3 linked regions of the Tamandua tetradactyla genome follow. The protein of the gene in region 2 purifies or fractionates together with the protein of the main gene of each other region. This does not show direct contact. Links are inferred from orthologs where the notes say so. Each region holds a gene or a part of one and is shown on either strand. Other genes may lie near its edges.

The links. Proteins that work in one complex are often made in the same cells at the same time.
Region 1: the proteins of KRAS (region 2) and RPL15 purify together in Homo sapiens (affinity purification with mass spectrometry; 3 studies listed by BioGRID and IntAct, with this or other methods). This does not show direct contact. The link is inferred for Tamandua tetradactyla from reciprocal best matches to the Homo sapiens genes KRAS and RPL15.
Region 3: the proteins of KRAS (region 2) and PRDX1 purify together in Homo sapiens (affinity purification with mass spectrometry; 3 studies listed by BioGRID and IntAct, with this or other methods). This does not show direct contact. The link is inferred for Tamandua tetradactyla from reciprocal best matches to the Homo sapiens genes KRAS and PRDX1.

Annotation. Positions count from the first base shown.
Region 1 is NC_135341.1:64,395,697-64,403,530, reverse strand, and holds RPL15 (large ribosomal subunit protein eL15), read left to right. Parts: upstream 1-4,814; 5' UTR 4,815-4,942; intron 4,943-5,040; exon of another isoform or gene 5,041-5,064; intron 5,065-5,563; 5' UTR 5,564-5,573; coding exon 5,574-5,745; intron 5,746-6,219; coding exon 6,220-6,356; intron 6,357-7,196; coding exon 7,197-7,502; 3' UTR 7,503-7,553; downstream 7,554-7,834.
Region 2 is NC_135333.1:88,116,120-88,123,658, forward strand, and holds the start of KRAS (GTPase KRas), read right to left. Parts: upstream 3,012-7,539; 5' UTR 2,838-3,011; intron 1-2,837. UniProt on the Homo sapiens protein: Ras proteins bind GDP/GTP and possess intrinsic GTPase activity. Plays an important role in the regulation of cell proliferation.
Region 3 is NC_135328.1:177,773,815-177,781,123, forward strand, and holds the start of PRDX1 (peroxiredoxin-1), read left to right. Parts: upstream 1-4,289; 5' UTR 4,290-4,395; intron 4,396-4,791; exon of another isoform or gene 4,792-4,921; intron 4,922-6,625; 5' UTR 6,626-6,636; coding exon 6,637-6,742; intron 6,743-7,309. UniProt on the Homo sapiens protein: Thiol-specific peroxidase that catalyzes the reduction of hydrogen peroxide and organic hydroperoxides to water and alcohols, respectively.

The DNA of each region.
Region 1 (7,834 bases), on a different chromosome or scaffold from region 2:
AAGGCATCAAAATTGGGAAGGAAGAAGTAAAACTATCACTGTTTGCAGACGATATGATACTATACGTCGAAAACCTGGAAAAATCCACAACAAAACTACTAGAGCTAATAAATGAGTACAGCAAAGTAGCAGGTTACAAGATCAACATTCAAAAATCTGTAGCATTTCTATACACTAGCAATGAACAAACTGAGGAGGAAATCAAGAAATGAATCCCATTTACAATTGCAACTATAAGAATGAAATACCTGGCGGGCCGCGGTGGCTCAGCGGGCAAGAGTGCTTGCCTGCCGTGCCGGAGGACCCCGGTTCGATTCCCGGCCCCAGCCCATGTAAAAAAAAAACAAACAAACAAACAAAATATAATAAAAAAAAACAAGAAAATGTTTAAAAATGTTTCCCTTTCTTCCTCCCTTCCTTCCTTCCATCCTTCCTTCCTTCTCTGTCTTTCCTTCCCTTCCTCCCTCTCTCTAAAAAAAAAAAAAAAAAAAAAAGAATGAAATACCTAGGAATAAATTTAACTAAAGAGACAAAAAACCTATATAAAGAAAACTACAAAAAACTGCTAAAAGAAATCACAGAAGAACTAAATAGATGGAAGGGCATACCGTGTTCATGGATTGGAAGACTAAATATAGTTAAGATGTCAATCCTACCTAAATTGATTTACAGATTCAATGCAATACCAATCAAAATCCCAACAACTTATTTTTCAGAAATAGAAAAACCAATAAGCAAATTTATCTGGAACGGCAGGGTGCCCCAAATTGCTAAAAACATCTTGAGGAAAAAAAACGAAACTGGAGGTCTTGCGCTGCCTGACTTTAAGGCATATTATGAAGCCACAGTGGTCAAAACAGCATGGTATTGGCATAAAGATAGATATATCGACCAATGGAATCGAATAGAGTGCTCAGATATAGACCCTCTCATCTATGGACATTTGATCTTTGATAAGGCAGTCAAGCCAACTCACCTGGGACAGAACAGTCTCTTCAATAAATGGTGCCTAGAGAACTGGATATCCATATGTAAAAGAATGAAAGAGGACCCATATCTCACACCCTATACAAAAGTTAACTCAAAATGGATCAAAGATCTAAACATTAGGTCTAAGACCATAAAACAGTTAGAGGAAAATGTAGGGAGATATCTTATGAAACTTACAATTGGAGGCAGTTTTATGGACCTTACACCTAAAGCAAGAGCACTGAAGAAGGAAATAAATAAATGGGAGCTCCTCAAAATTAAACACTTTTGTGCATCAAAGAACTTCATCAAGAAAGTAGAAAGACAGCCTACACAATGGGAGACAATATTTGGAAATGACATATCAGATAAAGGTCTAGTATCCAGAATTTATAAAGAGATTGTTCAACTCAACAATAAAAAGACAGCCAACCCAGTTACAAAATGGGAAAAAGACTTGAACAGACACCTACCAGAAGAGGAAATACAAATGGCCAAAAGGCACATGAAGAGACGCTCAATGTCCCTGGCCATTAGAGAAATGCAAATCAAAACCACAATGAGATATCATCTCACACACACCAGAATGGCCATTATCAACAAAACAGAAAATGAAAAGTGCTGGAGAGGATGCGGAGAAAGAGGCACACTTATCCACTGTTGGTGGGAATGTCAAATGGTGCAATCACTGTGGAAGGCAGTTTGGCGGTTCCTCAAAAAGCTGAATATAGAATTGCCATACGACCCAGCAATACCATTGCTGGGTATCTACTCAAAGGACTTAAGGGCAAAGAAACAAACGGACATTTGCACACCAATGTTTATAGCAGCATTATTTACAATTGCAAAGAGATGGAAACAGCCAAAATGTCCATCAACAGAAGAGTGGCTAAACAAACTGTGGTATATACATATGATGGAATATTATGCAGCTTTAAGACAGGATAAACTTATGAAGCATGTAATAACATGGATGGACCTAGAGAACATTATGCTGAGTGAGTCTAGCCAAAAACTAAAGGACAAATACTGTATGGTCCCACTGATGTGAACCGACATTCGAGGATAAACGTGGAATATGTCATTGGTAACAGAATCCAGCAGGAGTTAGAAACAGGGTTATATAATGGGTAATTGGAGCTGAAGGGATACAGACTGTGCAACAGGACTAGATACAAAAACTCAAAAATGGACAGCACAATGATACCTAATTGTAAAGTAATCATGTTAAAACACTGAATGAAGCTGCACCTGAGGTATAGGTTTTTTTTTTACTATTATTATTACTTTTATTTTTTCTCTATATTACATTCTATATCTTTTTCTGTTTTGTTGCTAGTTCTTCTAAACCGATGCAAATGTACTAAGAAACGATGATCATGCATCTATGTGATGATGTTAAGAATTACTGATTGCATATGTGGAATGGTATGATTTCTAAATGTTGGGTTAATTTTTTTTCCGTTAATTAATAAAAATAAAAAAATAAAATAAAGAACATTAAAAAAAGGATTTTTCAAACAATGTTGCACGTAATAAAATACAATAAAGCAGATGCCACCTTACTAATCTTCTATTCATTCAGCAAATACACTTATTGAAGACCTACCATAATGTCAGACATTAGGAATAAATTAAGCAGCCAAAACAGACACGATTCCTGCCCTCAGGAATCTCAAAATCACTGGAAATAAAAACTTAAATCTCGCAAAACATAGAAATTAGCAGTAATTATTCACATTAGCAGAATCTTCCTTCTAAATGATTCATCCAACTTTGTAGTAAGCCATTCTTGACTCCTTTCTTTTATACCCTACATACACAAATCTTGTTAGCTCTACCTTCAAAACACATATACGGTTGCACCACTTAACTTTTATCATTAACTGAAGGCATCTGAGTACAATCTTCTCTCACCTGTTTCCCTTCCCAAAGATATGGAATCCTAATCCCCAAAACATGTTATTTTATGTGGTATAATGGACTTCGCAGATATGATTAAGTACCTTCTGTTGGGAAAATTATCTTGGATTATTCAGGTGGGCCCAAGGTAATCAGAAGGATCTTCATTCTTACAAAGATTTGAGGTTGCCAACCTGCCGACTTTGAAGATGAAGGGCAGGATTGGGACCCAAGGATTGCAGGTGGCCTCTAGAAACTGGAAAATGCAAGAAAACAGATTCTTTCCAAAAAGCTCCAGAAAGAATGCAGACCTACTGACACTGTGATTTCAGCTTTGTGAGACCTCTGACCTACATAACTGTTGGATAATAAATTTGTGTTTTTAACCAGTAAATTTATTACAGCGGCAATATGGAACTAACACAACCTCTTAACAGGTCTCCCTGTTTGAACTCTTTTCCCCTTCATTTTAGGGCCAAAGCAAAATACTTTTAAAACGTAAATCACATGAAGCCATTCTTCTGCTCAAAACCTTCCAAAGGTTTCCAATTTCATAAACACTCAAAATCCTTTTAAGAACCTTCACCTCTCTGAGGGAATTCTCTACTTTCTCCTACAGTTGAGAAAGCCAAATCACCTTCTTATTCCTCTGTTAATCCTGGCGTGCTCCAGCTTTGGCCCTTTCCCCCTGCTTGACATTATTCCCGCTCTGTCAAGGCTCACATCCTTGAAGTCTTCTCAAATGTCATCTTCTCAAAGAGACTCACTCCAAACTCTCTATCTAAACTTGCTAATCCTACTCAATACCCCTTATCCCTGCCCCACCTTAATTTTTTTTCCTTAGCACTTAACCACACACAAACACAACACATATCTAATTTATGATATTTATATTTAGTGCCCGTTTCCAAGGCTAGAATTTCTGTCTGCGATGTTCACTGCTGCATTCCCAGCAGTTAGGACAGATCCTAGTACACATTAAGCACTTAAAATACATTTGTTGAATGACTAAATGAACCAGGTGATAGCTCTTAGAATGAAAAAGCTGCGATTAAAATAAGATAAAATATGACCCACTAATGGAGAAAAAAAAACGAAAACTGTTAATGATTTCGAATATAAATATGACTCTCTTAAACACTGACCACATTTAAACCTATAATTTGATAGGGAATTAAAACCGCAAGCCTACAGCAAGAACGAAAATATTCCGGAAACGCAAAAAAGGCAATAAACTATTTTTCAGTTAGGAACGCAGCGGCGTTTGCCAGCATTTCAGGATTTTCTCGACGTTTTTTCCGAACACACTCGCACTTGCCTAACAGGTTTGGCAAATAAAACATTTTGCTCTTCTAAAAAACCGTAGTTGTGAGGTAGCAAATCTGGGACCAAGTCCGAAGGTGCCGAGTCGCCCTTCCCCGGCTCCCGGAATCTTTTTCGAATAAAATTCCCCCGAGCCGGGGCCTGCGGGGATTTCAGCCTTGGAAGACCGCAAGAGGCACAGCCCGCGGGCCTCAGTCCCACGAAGGCCTCGGTTAGGGGCTGGAGAGGCGTCGCGGGCGTCTGTCAGAACCCCGTGAGACCCCAAATTTCGGCGCCCGTCCTGACAGAGGAAAAATCACACCCGGGAGACCGGACCTACGTCTCAAGTGAGGAGTCCGCGATGCGTGAAACGGCTTCGCACACCTCTGCGGAACCTGATGACAGCGGCAGGCACCACCTCACGGTGCTCAAAGCCCGCGGGCTTTGGAGCACCGCCCCCAACTTGCCTCTTCCCAGCGGCGGGACTGTCCCGCACTCTAGCAAGCCGAGGCCTTACCACCAACACACCTTTCGCAAAGCCGCGACCTCTCAGGTTCGAATTCTGCGGAGCAGGGGGCGGGACGATAGGGGACGCTACGCCCAACCCGGCAGAGCTCCAACCATAAGCTGAAGCCAGAACTGCATTTCCCGTGAGGCTCTGGGCCGCCTCAGCCTTCCACCGGAAAGAGGTTCGCTGCTGTGGGGGGAGGAGCCTAAAGGGAATTGTGGGAGAAAGGCTACTTCCTTTCCGTCTGGCGGCAGCCATCAGGTAAGCTGTGGCCCGGAGGAACGCTTATCCATCCACCGCTAATCTCTTTTCGCCTCAGCCATCCAAACTCTCCTACCCTGCGTCCTCGTAGCTCCTCCTGCTTCCTGTGCGGCGCGAGTTCGGTCAGGATGCGGGGCAGTGCGGAAATGGAGAAGAATCCCCTGGGCAGGCTAGGGGTAGATGTGATGGCGGAGCGAGTTCGCGCTGGGCCCGGAGCCTGAGGGAAAGGGTGATGTCAAACTGGGGAGTGGGAAGCCGGGTCTGAGGCGCCGTGAGGCTAGAGCGATTGGTGGGGGTGGGGTAAGTGCTTTTTCTCGAGAGTTAGCGCGCGGCGGCGTCAGTATCTTCTTTGGTATCAAACCCTGGTTTACGCTGTAGCCTACCACTCCCGTTGTTACCCGCCCCTCAGTCTCCAAGCAAAGCTCCATTCATTCGTTTAGCAAAAACGTGCCTAGCGGCTCTTCTAGGACGCGGAGGTGGGGGTTGGCCTGACTCTCCCCTTCAGATCGTGAAGAGCCATTTAATTCCACTGACTTCCTTGTGCCTGGTGGGGAACTAAGATGGACGGGTGGGGGCTTCTAAATGGATGCATATTTTCTAATACCCAGTTTTATCTCAAAGGTAAGCCAAGATGGGTGCCTATAAGTACATACAGGAGCTATGGAGGAAGAAGCAGTCCGATGTCATGCGCTTTCTTCTGAGGGTCCGCTGCTGGCAGTACCGCCAGCTCTCTGCGCTCCACAGGGCCCCCCGTCCCACTCGGCCTGATAAAGCGCGCAGACTGGGCTACAAGGCCAAGCAAGGTGTGTGGTCTCTGTGCAGATGGTTGGGTGTAATTTCTTGAGAAAAGCTAGTAACTGGGGATTAGTACGAAGCACCGTCGCACAATGTCTTCACAAAAGGCTTTGGCAAAAGCCATCTTCTGGTTCAGCTAGATCCAGACTAGTAAATGACTGAACACAATTGTCTAAAATGGTGTGCCAGAGTTTATAAATCTGTATTAGACTGGTCTAAACCAACTAATGAGTGGGAGGGAGAAACTTATCTACTTCCCAAATGATTAGTAATATCCAACTCAATAATATATAGAGAACTTTGCAAGATACTGGGATGTGTGTTTTGTTTTTTATTTTTAAAGAAAACTTCATACCCTGGTTTTGAGTAGTTTTATTTCCGTAAAAGATGAAATCTATTTGGTGTTGAAGCTTTAGTGACAAGTCATTGAGTCTCCCACCCTTGAGACTTTCTTTAAAACCATAATGATCCTTTCTGTATAGGTTATGTCATCTATAGGATTCGAGTGCGCCGTGGTGGCCGCAAACGCCCGGTTCCTAAGGGTGCAACCTATGGCAAGCCTGTCCATCATGGTGTTAACCAGCTCAAGTTTGCTAGAAGCCTTCAGTCTGTTGCTGAGGTAAGTAGTTTTTATTTCAGGTAGTATTGTTAGATGGTGAGGGAGAAGGACTTGAGCAAGTTTTCTGATATTTATTTGTATAAAATAGGATTTTGGGAGCTTTACTAAGTAAAAAGCAGTTGCTGTCAGCATATGAAGACTCTGTCGCTTACCTTTCTGGTCTTAATATATAATGGGAATGTTGGGTTTTTCAATTAGTGTGAACCTGTGGAACCTTACCTTTTGAAAGATAGGAAACTGTCTTGAATAGATTCCGAAGGTCTATAGAGTCTGCATTTATTCATGTCTCTGGTCTTATTTTTCAATATTTTTTTCTGGCTTAGTCAGTTAAACTGCCCTGCTGTAGGGGTTGGCAAACCAGTGTGTGCCCCCGCCCCCCCCTTGAGCTCCCTTCTTGAAGGGTTGTGTTTTTGTTTTGTTTTTAAAAGGACAGGGGGCAATGAAGAATATGCAAGAGACCAAATATGACCTGCAAAGCCTAAAATATTTTCTGGCCCTAAAGATTTGCCAACCTCTCCCAAATTATATTAGAAAAAGATAAGGTTCCAGAATCCTGTTTTTTAGCCAGTTATTGGTACCTTTACATGCTTTAGTTAGGGAGGAGATTTTTAAATCTAAGGATGTTAGTCTGCCATACTACATTGTCACTGAACTTTTTTTTATTTCATTTTAAGTATGAAATAAAAAAGTGCTAGTCACTTGGGGGATACTTAGTAAATATTTGAGTAGCCTAGTGTACAATTGCAGTTTCTTGTATAATGGTAAACTAGTTAGAATTCTAGCTTTCTAATTGCCACTGTGAGATATGTGAGTAACCTTGTGCCTGTTTTCCTATTCTAGGAGCGAGCTGGACGCCACTGCGGGGCGCTGAGAGTCCTGAATTCTTACTGGGTTGGTGAAGATTCCACATACAAATTCTTTGAGGTTATCCTCATTGATCCATTCCATAAAGCTATCAGAAGGAATCCTGACACCCAGTGGATCACCAAGCCAGTCCACAAGCACAGGGAGATGCGTGGGCTGACATCTGCAGGCCGCAAGAGCCGTGGCCTTGGAAAGGGCCACAAGTTCCACCACACAATTGGTGGTTCTCGCCGTGCAGCTTGGAGAAGGCGCAATACTCTCCAGCTCCATCGTTATCGCTAATATAAGTAAAGTTTGTAAAATTCATACCTAATAAACAATTTAGGACAGTCATGTCTACTTAAAAGTGTTCTTTGTTAAACAGTAGTTGTCTGCAGATTGTTTCATGAATATATATATATTGTCAAATTATGAAAGTTAAAGTGCAATAATGTTTGAAGACTATAAGGTGATGGTGTATCTTGTTTCTAATAAGATAATCAATTTTGTTTTTGCGTTATCTTATTAGGGAGTTATATGTCAGTGTTTTAAGATGCCATGCTGTGTGGTATTGGTGTAAAATAAATACTTTGAAAGAAGAGCACTGAAACTAGCTCTTTATATAGATTTGTTTG
Region 2 (7,539 bases):
CATTTTACCTTTAGAAGTAAAATGAATACATTTAATTTTATCTTCTTTCTCCCAATAAATACATGGTGCTATTTATAAATAAGGAATGAATGTAGAAAGAATGCCAGTAAATGCAAATAATTTATTATAAGGTAGTTCCAAATTAACAAACATGTATATACTGTGGATAAACACTATAGACCTGCAGCATCCAATTTAACCGAAGACCAAGAATTAGCTAAAAAGCGCACACATATACACAGAAAGATAATCTGGCTTGTCAAATGATTTACTTTTTCATCTTATTCCTGAGCCCTCTCACAAAGAGCACTACAGACAAGAAAACTGCTGTTATCAGAGAACTGATGTATTACAGCTCCTGGCCCACTTCTCTGCTCCATCTGTCCTTACCTGTTGCTTGTCTAGTGCTACCTTGAGAGTCACTACAAACATGACTTATCCTGTTTGCCCCTACTTTTGATTCTAAGTGTAAGCCATAGCAAATGGAACAGATGAATAGAATCCTACCAAATGGATCCTCTCAACCCACTCCCAGAACAGTCTGGATAGCTAGAACAGCAATTCTCAAAGTGTGGTCGAGGAAGCCCTCAGGATTTGGGGGGGAAATGAGGAGCCAACACTATTGTCATCATAATACCAAGATGTTATTTACCCTGTTTACTCTCATTCTTACACAAGTGTTCAGTAGAGTCTCCCAGATACGAGATCACTGTAGACCGAATGCAGAAGCAGAGATGAGAATCCAAATCTCTTTTATTAAGCTACACATTAAAGAGACTGGCAAAACTGCAAAGCAATGGCATTCTTCTCACCAATTTTTGTTTTGGTTTTGAAAAATAGCTATTTTTTATAAAGAATATAATTATCCATGTCCCCCTGTAATGACTTTATTATTTATTTCTAAAAATAAATTAATAAATTTAAATTCTCAGTTTTAATTTATAATATGGTAGATATTGATAGATATACCCCACACAAGCTTCTTGGGACCCTCAACAATTTTTAAGAGTGTGCAGTTATCTTGAGACCAAAAAAGTCTGCTAACCTAGATGATATGGTGGATAGATATTGGATTAGAGCTCAGCTGTACATGCATGTGCAGATTTGGAGAAACACACACCTTCCAATCTACTTATTTATACAGTGGTTACTTCAGGGGGAAAAATCCTATCAGATTTTAAAAACCAAGTTTTATTTAAATCCACTAGAGAGAACTAGGTTGCAAAAGACTCTTATTGAAAATCATAGACCAGAAGGGAACCCCCTCACCGAAAGTTACAAAAGCTAGAAAGGGGTGGAACTGGGACCAGAACCCAATAATTTTGTTGAAAAACAAAATTATCACTTTTACTTGTCATAAAATGGAATTACCATCTATCAGCTCTCTGAAAACCAAGTACACCTGTGGTGCTTACAGCTTCAAAGGGCCATACTGGTATCAATCATATTTGATTTCTATAGTTATTAAATTCAAGTCAGCATTTTGGACATTAGTCACCTAAGAGTGGCACCAGTCATAAATGGTAAACTCTGACGTGATTAGGAATAGACTTTTCCCTTTATAATTTCTTTTTAAGTGAGTTTTTTTTCCATTACAAACCTAACATATATACTGGATAAAAATTAGAAATACCTTTCTAAAATTAGAAATACCAGACTTAAAAGGCTAGCTTAGGACTTCAGCTATAACATGCACATACCAAGGAGTATTTCAGGCAGTTAGTTGGCTGATTACTACAATTACTCCTCTTGTAAGCCAGTTAAAAGAATCATGAGTGCTGTTAAATGAAGTATTATAATAACTCTTGGGACGGGCAACAAATTTGTATGGATGAGGGTAAATAGAAGAGAGGGGGATAAAGGAAAAGAGACAAATTAGACTTCAAGTACTATTTTAGCTATTGCTTTGTACACCCTTCAACTATCAAGGGAAAAGCCCTGCTTCTGCTCTATGGGTTTTCTGCGTGTGTTTTAACTTGACGAAGCAAAACAGACCTCCTGGGACTAACTTTTTCCTTTTCACTGTAGATCACAGGTTCGTTCTTTACGTGTAGGGTGTTGGCCACCTGTTCTTCAACCACCATCTCTACCTCCACCTCCTCCTTTGTAGCCACAGCAATGTCACAGCCCATACATGGGGGAGGGGAGCAGTCAGGAACTCGGCTGCAGATGCATTTTTTCCAAACACAATAACCTCAGACAGTGGTCTCAAAGCACTTTTCTATGCTCTTCCAAACCGTGATCTCTCTTTACCCACACATCCCCTACAAACTGGAAAGGACCACTATCCATCCACCGTACGCTCGAGGGAGAAGTTTAAACCTTCGTCCTAGAGATGCTAGATGCAGCAGAGAAGACAGAAACCGAGGCGGTCGAGCGCTGGGAAGGGAGGAAGAGGTGCGGGAGCCGGGAGAGGGAAGGACGACGAGGGGGAGGGGAGACGGCAGCGCATCAGTAGTAACCACCAGAGCACCCCACCGCCCCACCGGGCAGCTGACCCGGCCCGCGAGTTTCTCCCCGGCCGCCTCCAGCCGCGGCTCTCGGGGAGGAGGAAGGAAGGGGTTCCCCGTCCAGGAAGCAGCAGAAGCGGCGGCCGCCTCTAGCCTCACCCTTCTCAGCCCCGCACCGCCCATTCCTCACTGCCCGCGTCGCCGCGTCCCCGCGCCTCCCCCTGCAGACCTCCGCCCGCCCACCCGCCCGCGGGGACTCCGCGCTGGCGCCCCCTCCCCGCCTCTCCGGAGACCCCTAATTCATTCAGTAGCCGCCGGCCCCACCCGGCGCCGGCGAAAAGGGTCGGGACTGGGGTAGGGGCCCAGAGAGGGTGGTTCGCGCCTTACCTCTCTCCCGCACCTGGGAGCAGCCGAGCCTCTGGCCCCTGCCCGCCGCCTTCAGAGCCTCTGCCTCACTGCTAGCTTCCAGTCCGAAATGGCGGGGGCCCGGAGTACTGGCCGAGCAGCCGCCACCGCCGCCGCCACCGCCGCCGCTGCCTGAGCCGCCGCGGCCGCCGCCTAGGAAAATCGAGCGCCGAGCACACTAATGAGTTCGGGGCCGGGCGGCCGCAGAGGGCAGAGCTATCGATGTGTTCCGCGCTCGATTCCTCTTCAGGCCAGCTTGCGGAGAGAGAGCGGCCGAGGGTGGTGTGGGAAGAGGGAAGAGAGGGAGTCGGCGAGCGCCGCGGCGAGGAGGGGGAGGCCAGGCCGGTGGAGGAGGCCGGAGGCTGGACGGGTGTAAGGGGAAAAGATAGAACGGCCCTGTGGTGGGGGTGGGGGGGCTAGGTGGCCGTGGGTGGTGCCTCGCTGGGAGGTGGGGCTTCTGGGGCTGCGCGCCTACCCGCACCCCACTCCTTCCCGCCTCCTAGCCAGGCACCCGCAGGTTCGGACCCGGACGGAACTGCAGTGGTTACCTGCACGCCAGAGACGTCTGAGCGATCGCAACGCACCACTTACACAGAGAGGCTACAAAAATCCTGTCATCCCTCGGATCGGCCAACAACCGTGCACCTTGAATTACCATCATTTATTGCATGTAAATAAGGGAGTCACCAAATGTGAAAAGTGGCTTCAGTGACTTAGGAAGAAACTAAGCATTCATTACCCATCCTGGGGCTTTCTGATCACTTCATGATTATTGCGAAGATCAGCACTCAGAGGCTGGGAATCTAGTCCCAGGCTCAACAAACATGACATGTGACAAACCTTTTAGTCACTAATCTTAATGGGGGGGGGGGGGGGCGGGGGAAGAAAATGTCTTTCTTGACATTTTTGAGGCCATCAGAAGATCGCTCCAAAACGGGACCTCAAATGTAACCCAATGCCATGAAAGCCCAAGCAGAACACAAACTGTTCTTAAGTAGAAGTGCCCTTGACAGTTAAGGCCTAAAGAGAATCATTCAAACATTAATTAGAAGACTGAAGATTAATCAGTTAAGTTCATGAGTTATCCACATTAAACAAGGTAGCGATTAAAAATGTAAACCTATCCCTAGTCTGCTCTGATTAGATACCTAGAAACATAAATTGTTCTGGAGAATTTTGAAGATTCAGGCGTGGCAAACCAGCACCTATACTTAATATGATCACTCCTCTGAGTTCCAGATCTCTCCCCCTAGTTCATATCATCCAATACCAATAAAATAATTTTTTTTTAAGTTCCAGCTATTATGTCTGTTAAACAATGCCTTACACCAGCTGTCACCCTTTACTTCCTACCGTTTACATGGACTGTTAATCAGCAAGGCTTATTCCTGTCTCCCTTGCCTAGCACCCTGGTACCAGGTAGAAGAGGCAACAGAGAAGAAGCAGAAGGCCAGGAAGGGAAAAGAGTGTGCCTGATCTATAACAAGTATTTGCTAAATGTATAAATAAAGTATTGCAACAATTTCATTGAGTAGAACATTTTTTCTCTATTTTACAGGTGAGGAAACAAATTTGGAGAAGTTAAATATTGAGCTCAAGTTCACACAGCTAAAATGGGACGTATCTTTATGTCAGATCATGTACTCCTGCTCCTAACTCCCCACTGGCCCCCTTGCACTTAACACAAAAGTTCAAGTCCTTTCAAAGACTTAAAAAGCCTGAGAGATTTAACCCCACCCCCCCACTCCTTACCTCTCTGAACTCTCACTCTACTATTCTTCCCTTCCTTCCTCCTGTGAACACACACACTGTTTCCTTGCTGTTCCTTGAACCCTTCAGGCAGGCTTCTTCTGCAGGGAATTTGCATTTGCAACCCGCCATCTGGAACATTTGTCCACTATATATCCACAAAACTTACTCCTTCACCTATTATAAATCTTTGTTCAATGCCTTCTTTTAATGAAGTCTTCCCTAAAGATCATCTTTGATATTGAAATTTCCCCCTCTACCCTCAAATCCTTTCTCTCCACCTGCTTTACTGTTCTCCAGAGCACTCATCACATTCTGATGTACCATATAACATTTATCTTTGTCTCTTTCCCATCAGAATGTGAAGTTCAGTGAGCACAGGGATTTTATGTTTTACTTACTGCTATGTTTCCAGTGCCTACGACAGTCTCTGACACAAATAAGTCACTCAGTAAATATTTATAGAATGCAAAATGAATGAGGCCTTCCTTCTAAACTCTGACTCCACTTGAACAGAGTCACTTTCTGTCATCTCCGTCTTACAAAAGTCAACCTTTAAACTCATCCAGGTCACCTTTCTGATAAACCACACGCTAAGGAGCCTAGAAAAGTGCCTGGTACACAATGTACACAATTAATTTGTATAAAGTGAATGAATTTGCACTTATTTATATGTTGCTTGGTACTGTAGAACATTTATTTTGTGCAACTTCAAGTACATGGTAAGCTTTTGTATTCTCTCTCAGTAGCTAATAGAGTTCTCCCTATAGTTGATGTTCCATAAATCTTAAAAGGACTATAGTTTAGAGGGAGGAAATAGCTTTATATAGCACTTTACGCTAATTATAAACATTCTGGCATTAGCAGAAACCTAATCCGTCCACATGGTCTCATTATATCTAGAATCTCTAGGCTCATGATTCCCAAAGCAAATCTGTGCCCCACTATTCCCTCATGCACCCTACACTCCAACTTCACCTCTTCTGTTTTGCTCCCTCAGCGTTCAGTCCTGCATGCTTTTTAAGGAGCCAAAAGCCCGACCACCACCATTGCTCCCTTTCTTTCTTTACACAGAACTTAGAGCAGTGGTTCTCTAACTTCAGTGCTTCTTGAATCATCTGAGATGCTGGTTAGAAACTCAAACGCTTAGGCTCACTAGAGAGTCCATCCAGTTAGTTTAAGGTGGGCCAGAAATCTTTAACGATTGAGGGGATGTTAGACTGTTGGTTAGCAGTCTGCCCTTTGAGAAACTCTGATGTAGATATTCAAATTCTTCTCATCTCCTCTTGATATCTGTACTTTCTGCTGTCTTTCGGGGTTCCTCTCCCCCAAGCCTGGCCACTGTGTTGAATAGTCTCCCTGGCTCTCCTTTTCTTTGCTCTCCCCAAGGACAATCACACAGACCTGTACTATTATCACAGTGGGAAAAGAGAAAGAGAATAACAAACAAGTATAAACATGGGAATTCCAGGTTGCCCTAAGATGTAACTGAAGTTTCTACTGTTATACTCTTGTGCAAAAGCAGCTACATACACACGTGCACATATGCATATCGTTCTGATCCTGTTTTATGGAGATCATGGTGACCCTTTCCTTCATGTGATAGATACCCCCTTCTGTACATACACAAACTTCAAAACAATAGAAATAACCTTGGGTTAGCTTGGCTCTTCTGGGATATAAAAGGCTGAGATATATTCAGAGTGCTGCAGATGCCAAAGGATTGTTTTAAGGAAACAAGGACATTTTAGAAAACTAGACCATCAGTCAGGGAACTTCTGTTCAGTTCAGGGGTCAACTTCAGTTCTTGTGACCCCAAAGTCCCATTCATCCCCTTCAATAAAAAGCATCTATTGCTCCTTCTTTAGTAGTTTTTCTATTCTCATGAATCAGCATCTCTCTGCTTTTTCATCTATAATCTCAGCTTCTTCTGCTGTCTATGCTTCTACTGACCACTCTCTGTGACTTACATTCAAAAGATCCCTAGAGAAAGGATTTAGCTGCAAATGTCGATCATTATACAAAAGGAAGGTTCTTTATGGGATGCAATTTTCTTTGACAGGCTGCCTGACTGGTGGTTGGACTTCTTTATGTTTGGTGGAGACCATTGCCTTTGTTTATTTGTGAATCTTGGGACCAGAATAGCAGTGCACAGACCAGGGAACTTACACTGGAGGAGCCAACTGTGGAGGTTCTCATGGATTCCACTTCAGAACAACCTCTTTTCTCAGGTGGCTAATTTGTACCACTGAGTAGGTGCTATTTAGTTCTCTTACCCAAGACATTATCTCCTCTGGAAACTTATTTCATTAGACTTTGTCTTCATTATTTGCATTTTCTTATAGTGCTCAGCACATAGTAGGTCCTTTATAAATATTTACTGAAATGAATGAAATTATAGCAAAACCTCAGCCCTGTCTTCTCATAGTTCCTTCATTCTCCTCTGGCCAATTTCCTGGACCATTTCTAAATGGAAATCCTGTCATCATCTCAGATGCCAGTCCAAAATCAAATTCTCCATTTTAGCCTCCCAGCCTAATTCCCTCTCCTATTTTTTCCATCTTACTTGAGTAACATCACTGTCCTTAAAATCATTTAAACTAGGAAACAAATTAATTTCTAACTAAGTCCCCATTCACATTGACTATGGCACCTTTTAATTATACTTTCCAGGTATTTTCTCATATCTGCCTCTTTCTGCACTCCTTCCTTCACACCTGCTTTTCTAGAACAGCTTCCTCACTGACTTCCCCACCTCCTGGCTTTCTGTTTTTCAATTCAGACCATATGCTTTTGCTGAATTAATCTTCCTTACACGTTTCTTTCATCATTATCAAACATTTACTCAGCACCTACTCCATACAAACTGCACACATGATGAATTTTTAAAGTATAAAGAGCTACAAGCTAAGTATCTAGTGAGTGCCAAAGATGA
Region 3 (7,309 bases), on a different chromosome or scaffold from region 2:
TACTTTTATACTCATATTGAATGGCTTTACCTGTTAGCTAATCTGTTCTGATAGGAAGAAAGAACAATGGCTGTTGATGAGTCAGGTAACCTACCACAGCAAATTAGCACAAAGATGTAACAACTGCTTTGTTAAGCAAAAGCCAGATGATGTCAAAGGACATTGTATGAATAAAGGTTTCACTAATCTTAAACAGAGAAAAGTGGTAGGAGAATTGAGTCATTATCACAGGGTGAAGGCAGTATATAGGTATGTGGAATCCAAAAGGAGCTACACTGTATTCATGGAAGGTATTTGCTCGCAGAAATCTCATCTTATATATTTCATCCTGCAATAGTTCAGCAGTAGTAAGGGCAGGAGCAATTAACATGGAAATAACTTTCCATATTGTATCATGGGGCAACCTATTGAATAAATGGTTTGAATGAAAAATTAAAATGAAAGTTAATTAAATTTAATCAATTAAACCAACATTAGAAGTCCTCAACAATGTTTTTCTTTTTACAAGGGACCACATTACTCCTGTTTGAGAAAACTACCTTAAGATAATAGATGGAGGGAGCTAAATTCTATGAAGAACTGGGCTAGGAACCAGTGCTTTGCCCAGTGAATAAGTTATAGTCGCTTGAAATGGGCAGAGAAAATTATTAAAAAGCCTCACTTCTAAGAAATAGAGCAAAACAGGATTTATGCAAACATTTTCTCAGTAGCTGCCCTCACCTCAGGCAATTCTTCCTAACAAAGCCCTACCCAAGTCCCTCATCAATCAACAACTTCATTAGTTTTTTTTTTTTTTTTAATTTAAAAGATTTTATAGGAAATTTAGTAAATTTCAAACTACAGTTTTTTTTTGTTACCTTGTTTCAGGTGCAATACACTTCAATGATGATGGCGGTTACTAGAGGAAACAGTAATTATTCCTGGGAGAAACAGTTTATTTTCATGACTGGCACTTTGCCATAAAATGCTGTTCTTTTTTAGCTGTTTTTGTTCCTTTGATCTTTGATTGTTTTTGTTCCTTCTCCCAACCCATAGAAATTCTCTGTGGTTCTGGTCTTGGATCACTTCTTTCCACTTCTCAGGGACCTCATTTATTCTCACAGTTTCAAGTATCCTTGATATTGTCAGAATCAATATAATTATTTATGATGTCAGAATCAATATAATTCTTTACGTTATTTAACAAATCCTATTGTACTTACCATGAGCCAGGAATCACGCTTCTAAGTATTAGGGGTCACATGAATACAATAGGAAGGGTTCCTTAAGTTTCCACATATCCAACCGACATGTCTTCTTGGCCATTTCCTCATGGAACCCCAAATTCAACATGCCCCAAAGTGGGGTCTTTATCATCTTCCCCCAAATCTGTTTCACATTTCTGTAAATTGCACATCTCTTCATTCAGTTCCCCTGGGACTCACTCCCTATAAATGATTCCCAGTTCTTGCAAATTGGGAAAATCTGCAGTTCTTGCAAAGTTCTTGCCACCTAATCCCAACTTTCCACACTTGGCACACTGCCTTCACTCAGACTTTCTACCTCTTTTCTCCTAGTCCTGGTAACAGCCTGCTTACTGGTCCCATATCTTCTTGGTCCTCTAAATCTATTCTCTATGCAGCTGCCAGAATGATCAGTAACAGAGCTTGATGTGGACATTCTTATATTCAAAACTCTTTAATCACCCACACCTCCTGATATAAAATCCAAACTCCTCAGTCTGGTTTATGAGGTGCATCGTGACCTGTTTCTGCCCACATTCTTTCCTCTACGTTCTAGTCCTTGGCATTTGCATTCTACTAATATTGAACTACCAGTAGTTCCCCAAACACATACTGTTTCCTATCCTGCTCTGTTCTCAGCTTGGAACCCCTTTCCCTGATCTCTCTCTCCCTAGCTAGCTTTTTAGAGTTCCTTCAACATACATCAGTATTCTTATTCTTCTTTGATGTCTGATGACAAAGCAGAGTGTTAAATAGAAGCACAATGAATGTGTTAACTCAACTTCTGTGCTGTTGATTTGCTGATTCTCAAATCTACATCTCCAATGACAATCTCTGGACACCACCACCTGAATATCCTATAAGCATCTGAAATGCTGTTTGCCTCAAACTAAACTGATTATCTTCTCCTTTAAGAGTAGATTTCAGAATCATACCACCTGTTTAGACCACTGTGAGCTGTGAGGCACAATGCTAGGGGACACCTTTACATTATAGTTCATGTAAATATTCCATTTGAATATTATGCAACCCGATGGTTCTGCTACCCAGGTTAGAAGCTGACTTCAATGGATGTTAGCTGTGACCTTGTACAATTTCCCAAATTTCTTAGGCATCAGGTGCCTCATCTGCAAAACAGGTAGTACTCAATAAATGTTTGTCATTATTTTTAACCTAGAACCTGCGTATCCTCCAATGTCCCCTATCCCATTGGTTAATGGCATCACCCTTGATTATGTTGCCAAGATAAGAAACCTAGGATTTAACCTACCCCTTCTTCTTATCTTAAATCCTGTAGAAATAACCCTTGTATATCTTCTCTGCTTTCCATCCCTGCTGCCAATACCCTATGATGGTTCTGAGTCTTCTCTTGTCTGAATCTTTGCAGTAGCCTCTTAGCTGTTCTCTTTGCCTTTATGTCCTAATTATTAAGTTCACCCATCACACAGCTGCCAGAGCAATTTTCCTAAAACACAGTTCAAATAATTTAATTCCACATCCCCCAAATCTTCAGTACATTCTAATATTTATTAGGCAATTTTCCCATGCCATTTACTGGCTAGGTTCTGGTACTACAAAGACAAATAAAACAGGAATAGTCCTTCCCAGACAGACTACTAGTGAACAAACGAGGACAACATAATGAGATATGTGTCAAAATAGAGCTACAGATATGTATCAGGTCCTGTAGGAGGATAAAAGAGAAAAGCCTCTACCCCATTTTGGTAATTTTACTATTATCTGGGGAAGGAGATTCCATAAACATACATACACAAGTGTGCAACAGATTTTTTCTTTTCTCAGAACTATCCTCCTATTTAAATTTTTTATATAACCAAGGGGTTGTTGATCTTTCCTTGGGCCTAGATAACCCTTTTGGCTCTTTTTATGGGGGTGGGGTGGGGTGGGGGGTAAGGAGGTGCAAGGGCCAGGAATTGAACCCAGGTTTCCTGTATGGCATGTGAGAGTTCTACCACTGAAGTACCTGTGGACCCCACTCTTTTGTTTCTTAAATGAAACAAAATAAACCCAAGGGCCCAGCCCATGGCCTGGTGCATGGTGAATACAATAAATGGTCATTTTCTTCTGGCTGAAGTGTGGCTGTGTGCTTTTGTTTAGTCTGATCATAGCAATAAACATCCAGCATTAAGCCCAAAACAACTCCCTCCCCTACGGCCCCCCACCACTGAAAATGAGTAATGCCAAATAATTGCTCAGCCTTGGAGAAAGAAAAAGTAACTACAAAAATCATTACTTTTGCAAGGTAGGATGAAAAATACCAAAAAAATTGGAAATGCTCAGCCAGCATGACACAGCACTTCCCATTTCTTATCCACGCTATAACTCCAAGGGAGTTAATAAGATGGGGGAGGGGTAGAAGCCCAGAAAAGGGGACACTAGATTATTTATTAAACACTGACTGACTGAGTTCCTCTATCAGGTATTGTTGTGACCTGGGGACACAGAATGGATGTGATCCAAGTACACTATCCTCCAGAAAGTCTAAAAGCAAAAGGAAGCTATGTAAACAAGTAAAACAGCTTAAAAGGTTTTTCCCCCTCCTTTGATACATGGACTATATTGCTTGGGCACAATGGAGGGAATATCAATTCTGGGGACGACCAAAGTTTAGGAACAGCTTCAGAGAAGGTAAAACTTGAGCTAAGTCTTGAAAGACTTTTTCTCTGGGCCAGTTAGGAAGCAACAGGCTCTTCAGGCTTGAACAAAATTCTAAAGGGTTGCAACAGTTCACATCGTTCAGAATTATAATTCAGGAGGACTAAGAGAGTAATAATAAATAATAGCTAACGTTTCTAATGTATACTAAGAGCTAGGTACGGTGATAAGTAATTTACGCAGATAGCTAATATCAGTTAATCTTCACAACAATACCATGAAATATTAATATTACTCCCAATTTTGCAGGTCAGAAAAAGTGAGGGTTAGCAGAATTAAGAATCCTACCCCAAGGTCACACAAAACGATAGTAGCTTTAATTCAAGGAACTGACTACAGAGCCCCAGTTTTTTTAACCACAAGTCAGAAGAGTGACATGATCAGATTTCACAAAGATTCCTTCCAGCCGCAGAGTAAGGGATGCATGGGAGATGGAAAGCAGCAAGCCTGTGATCTGGGTGAACGACGAAGGAGGGTGTCTCAAAAGTTAACAACGGTGAGGAATCTGGCAGAAGCTTCGGGGACCGAGACGGATTTGAAAAACATTTAGTTAATGTTCTCCGGGCTTGGTGAGGAACTGCCTTGGTCCTCCGTGGCAGCAGCGAGGACTTTTAACCAGGTTTGGGCCCTGAGGGCACAGCGCGCCGGGGTTCCAGAAGCAAGGGAATTGCACCTACCTCCCTATTCCCGCCCCGCAGACATCCTAAATTTAACGAAGGCTTTTGGGTTCCGGGCGGACGAGAAAAGACCACGCTCTCGCACATCAACAATAAACGGCGGGAAAAGGTGATTGATGGTTTCCGCGCTCACACCGCCCCCGGCAAGGAAAATGCTGAGTCATTCTAGCGGGGTGGGGGTGGGGGGCGGGGCGCAGGGCAGAAACCCCCTCCTTATCTCCTCTTCTCGCACCCCCGACCCGTTTCGACTCTCGCGAGAGCCTCACAAGTTATATAGACAGCGCCCCGCGCGGACTTTGCGCGTCCTCTTCCCGGCTGTTCTGCGTAGCTTTCTTTGGGTATTTGGTGAGTAAGTCCACCGCGTCCTCGGTGGGGCCGAGCGTCACTCACCCCCCCCACCCCACCCCACCCCCGCCGCCGCCTCCCCTTCTCCTTGGGGCTTGCACGGGCTCCTCTGGAGGTGTTGTGGTGGTTTAGGCGGCCGGGGGAGAGCCTGGCGTCCTACGATCCTCGGGCGACATGCGCACCTCCCACGTGGGCCCCCCCCTCGAGGGTTGGTTGAAGATGGAGACTTTCGCCGGCTCCAGTATTCGCTTATTCCGAACTGGGGGCGCTGGTTGGCTTGGAGGGGCGGGGTGTGTAGTGGGGCAGCTCTCCTCGACTGGCCTCCCGAGGGGCGGGGCGGGTTCGGGAATCTTCTAGAATGAACCTGGAACCTAACCTGTGGCTGCAGAGGGCTGCCTTTTCTTGTTGGTCGTGTGGTAGGGTAAACGCCATTTCCTGCTCTGAGCTGTGACTTGGCTGTGGAGCCTTGAGTACCTTGCATCCCTTTTCGTTCATCATGTTCCCATCTGCAGAGTGAGATGTGTTTTAGATAATTCCACATGCTGTCGCTGAAGACTGCGCACTCTTATGCTGGAGCTTTCCGAAGTGGATTTAGGGGTGTGGCCCTGGCCTAAGTTATTGGGCAGATCCCCTGAGGGGGCTGCACCGGTGGGAAGTCGAGCAGCCTTTACCCTTCGGCTGGGGGTGGGGTGGTGGGGGCGCACCTTCAAAAGTAGGTTTGGATGAGGCTATATTTGTTAGGGTCACACCCCGTAGTTTGGTTTCCTATTTGCAGCGAGCCTTACTGTTTCTTTGAAAGGGTGTTACAAGATTAAAAAAACAAAAGAAAAAACAGGCAGTAACAAGTGTCCCATGGTCGATCCTCGGCGTTCTTACCTAGTTTCTTTTGGCTCTCTTATTATGAACCAAGAGCTTCAGGACCTACTGGAAAAATAGGGTCTTGGGACTTTCAAACAGATAATTTGCTGGGTTGAAGCTTATCCTCATTATCTTGGTGTTGACCTGGGTAAGTCTAGTGCAACATTGTTTTTTATCAGTGAACTGGTTTTTGCTCTACTTACTTTCCCCCCATGATTTTGGCCTTGAGGTCAGAAACCCACTTTTGAAAGGACTTCTAGGGCTAAACAGAAGACAAGACCAAAATCCTGGTCTTGCCTCTTAAAAAGTCAGGTTGGCTTTAAGGTGTGGATTTGACACACTGGCCTAGGAAACAGTTCATTCGGGCTTCACGCTTTATGAAGGCACGTGGAGGCAAATTCTGGAGAAAGGGTAATATGACCACGTTAGACATTCAGTGTGCCATTGTCCATATAGATTCTGGTTTGAGGGTCTGCACTTCCTTTTCTTTGCTTCTGTTCAGTAATGCAGAAGAAATGCCATTTCATAAATTGATGGTTCAGAAAAAGTGATAGGGGTGACGTCAACCTATAAAAAAATTATTGTTTTAAGTGAAAACAAAGACTGAGATTCAGACTTGTAATAACTGGTTTGTTCCAAAAGCGGAAAGCTCAGATTCTGGTCCTTCCATTGTGTCCCCTGGCTGCTGGTTTGTTCTTTAAAAGAGAAAAACAAACAATTAGTGCATGTATCTAGAGCCAGTGGATAATTCCTTGCTTTTTCTGCAGCTAAATCCCTAAGTAAATGAAGGCTGCTGGTTTAAGTTTGTTTCTGATTAATCCATTTTCTCTAATTTGTCTTTTGCAGCTGATAGCAAGATGTCTTCAGGAACTGCCAAAATTGGGCACCCTGCCCCCAACTTCAAAGCCACAGCTGTTATGCCAGATGGTCAGTTCAAAGATATCAGCCTCTCTGATTACAAAGGTAAGAGTAGTTACATTGGACTTATTAAAATGGAATTATTTTATAATTTAGGGATGGCTAGTTGGATTTCTGTATCTCTGTTATACTCAGTTGTAAAATACTTTGTATCTCCTAGGTCAAGGTGCTTAAGTGAAGTGATGATCACATGATAAACAGTGATCACAGGGTAACTATCCTAGGTCTAGGCATCTGCTGGAGAAAGCACATGCTTCATTATGTATCACATATTAGCTCAATTTGATTTCTTAGTTACTCTTTCTTAATTGTGTAATTGGGGAAAAATTATCATTATTAACTCATTATAAGAGGCTTTCCACATTTTAAATTTGATTGCATCTGGACCTTTAAGTCTATGAAGCTGTGATACTACTTGTTCAGTAGTGATTGTAAAATGTGTGTCACAGCTGCTACATTATTAGGCAGAGGGCTGAGGACCAATCCCTTCACTATTTTGCCACCAAAAGAAAAGCCGATGTCACAGAACAGTTTCCCTTTCTGTTGTCATAGTTTCATGCAGACATTTGGCAAACTCGAAAGAGGTTTTCCATTTCATTGTCGTGCAGTCCC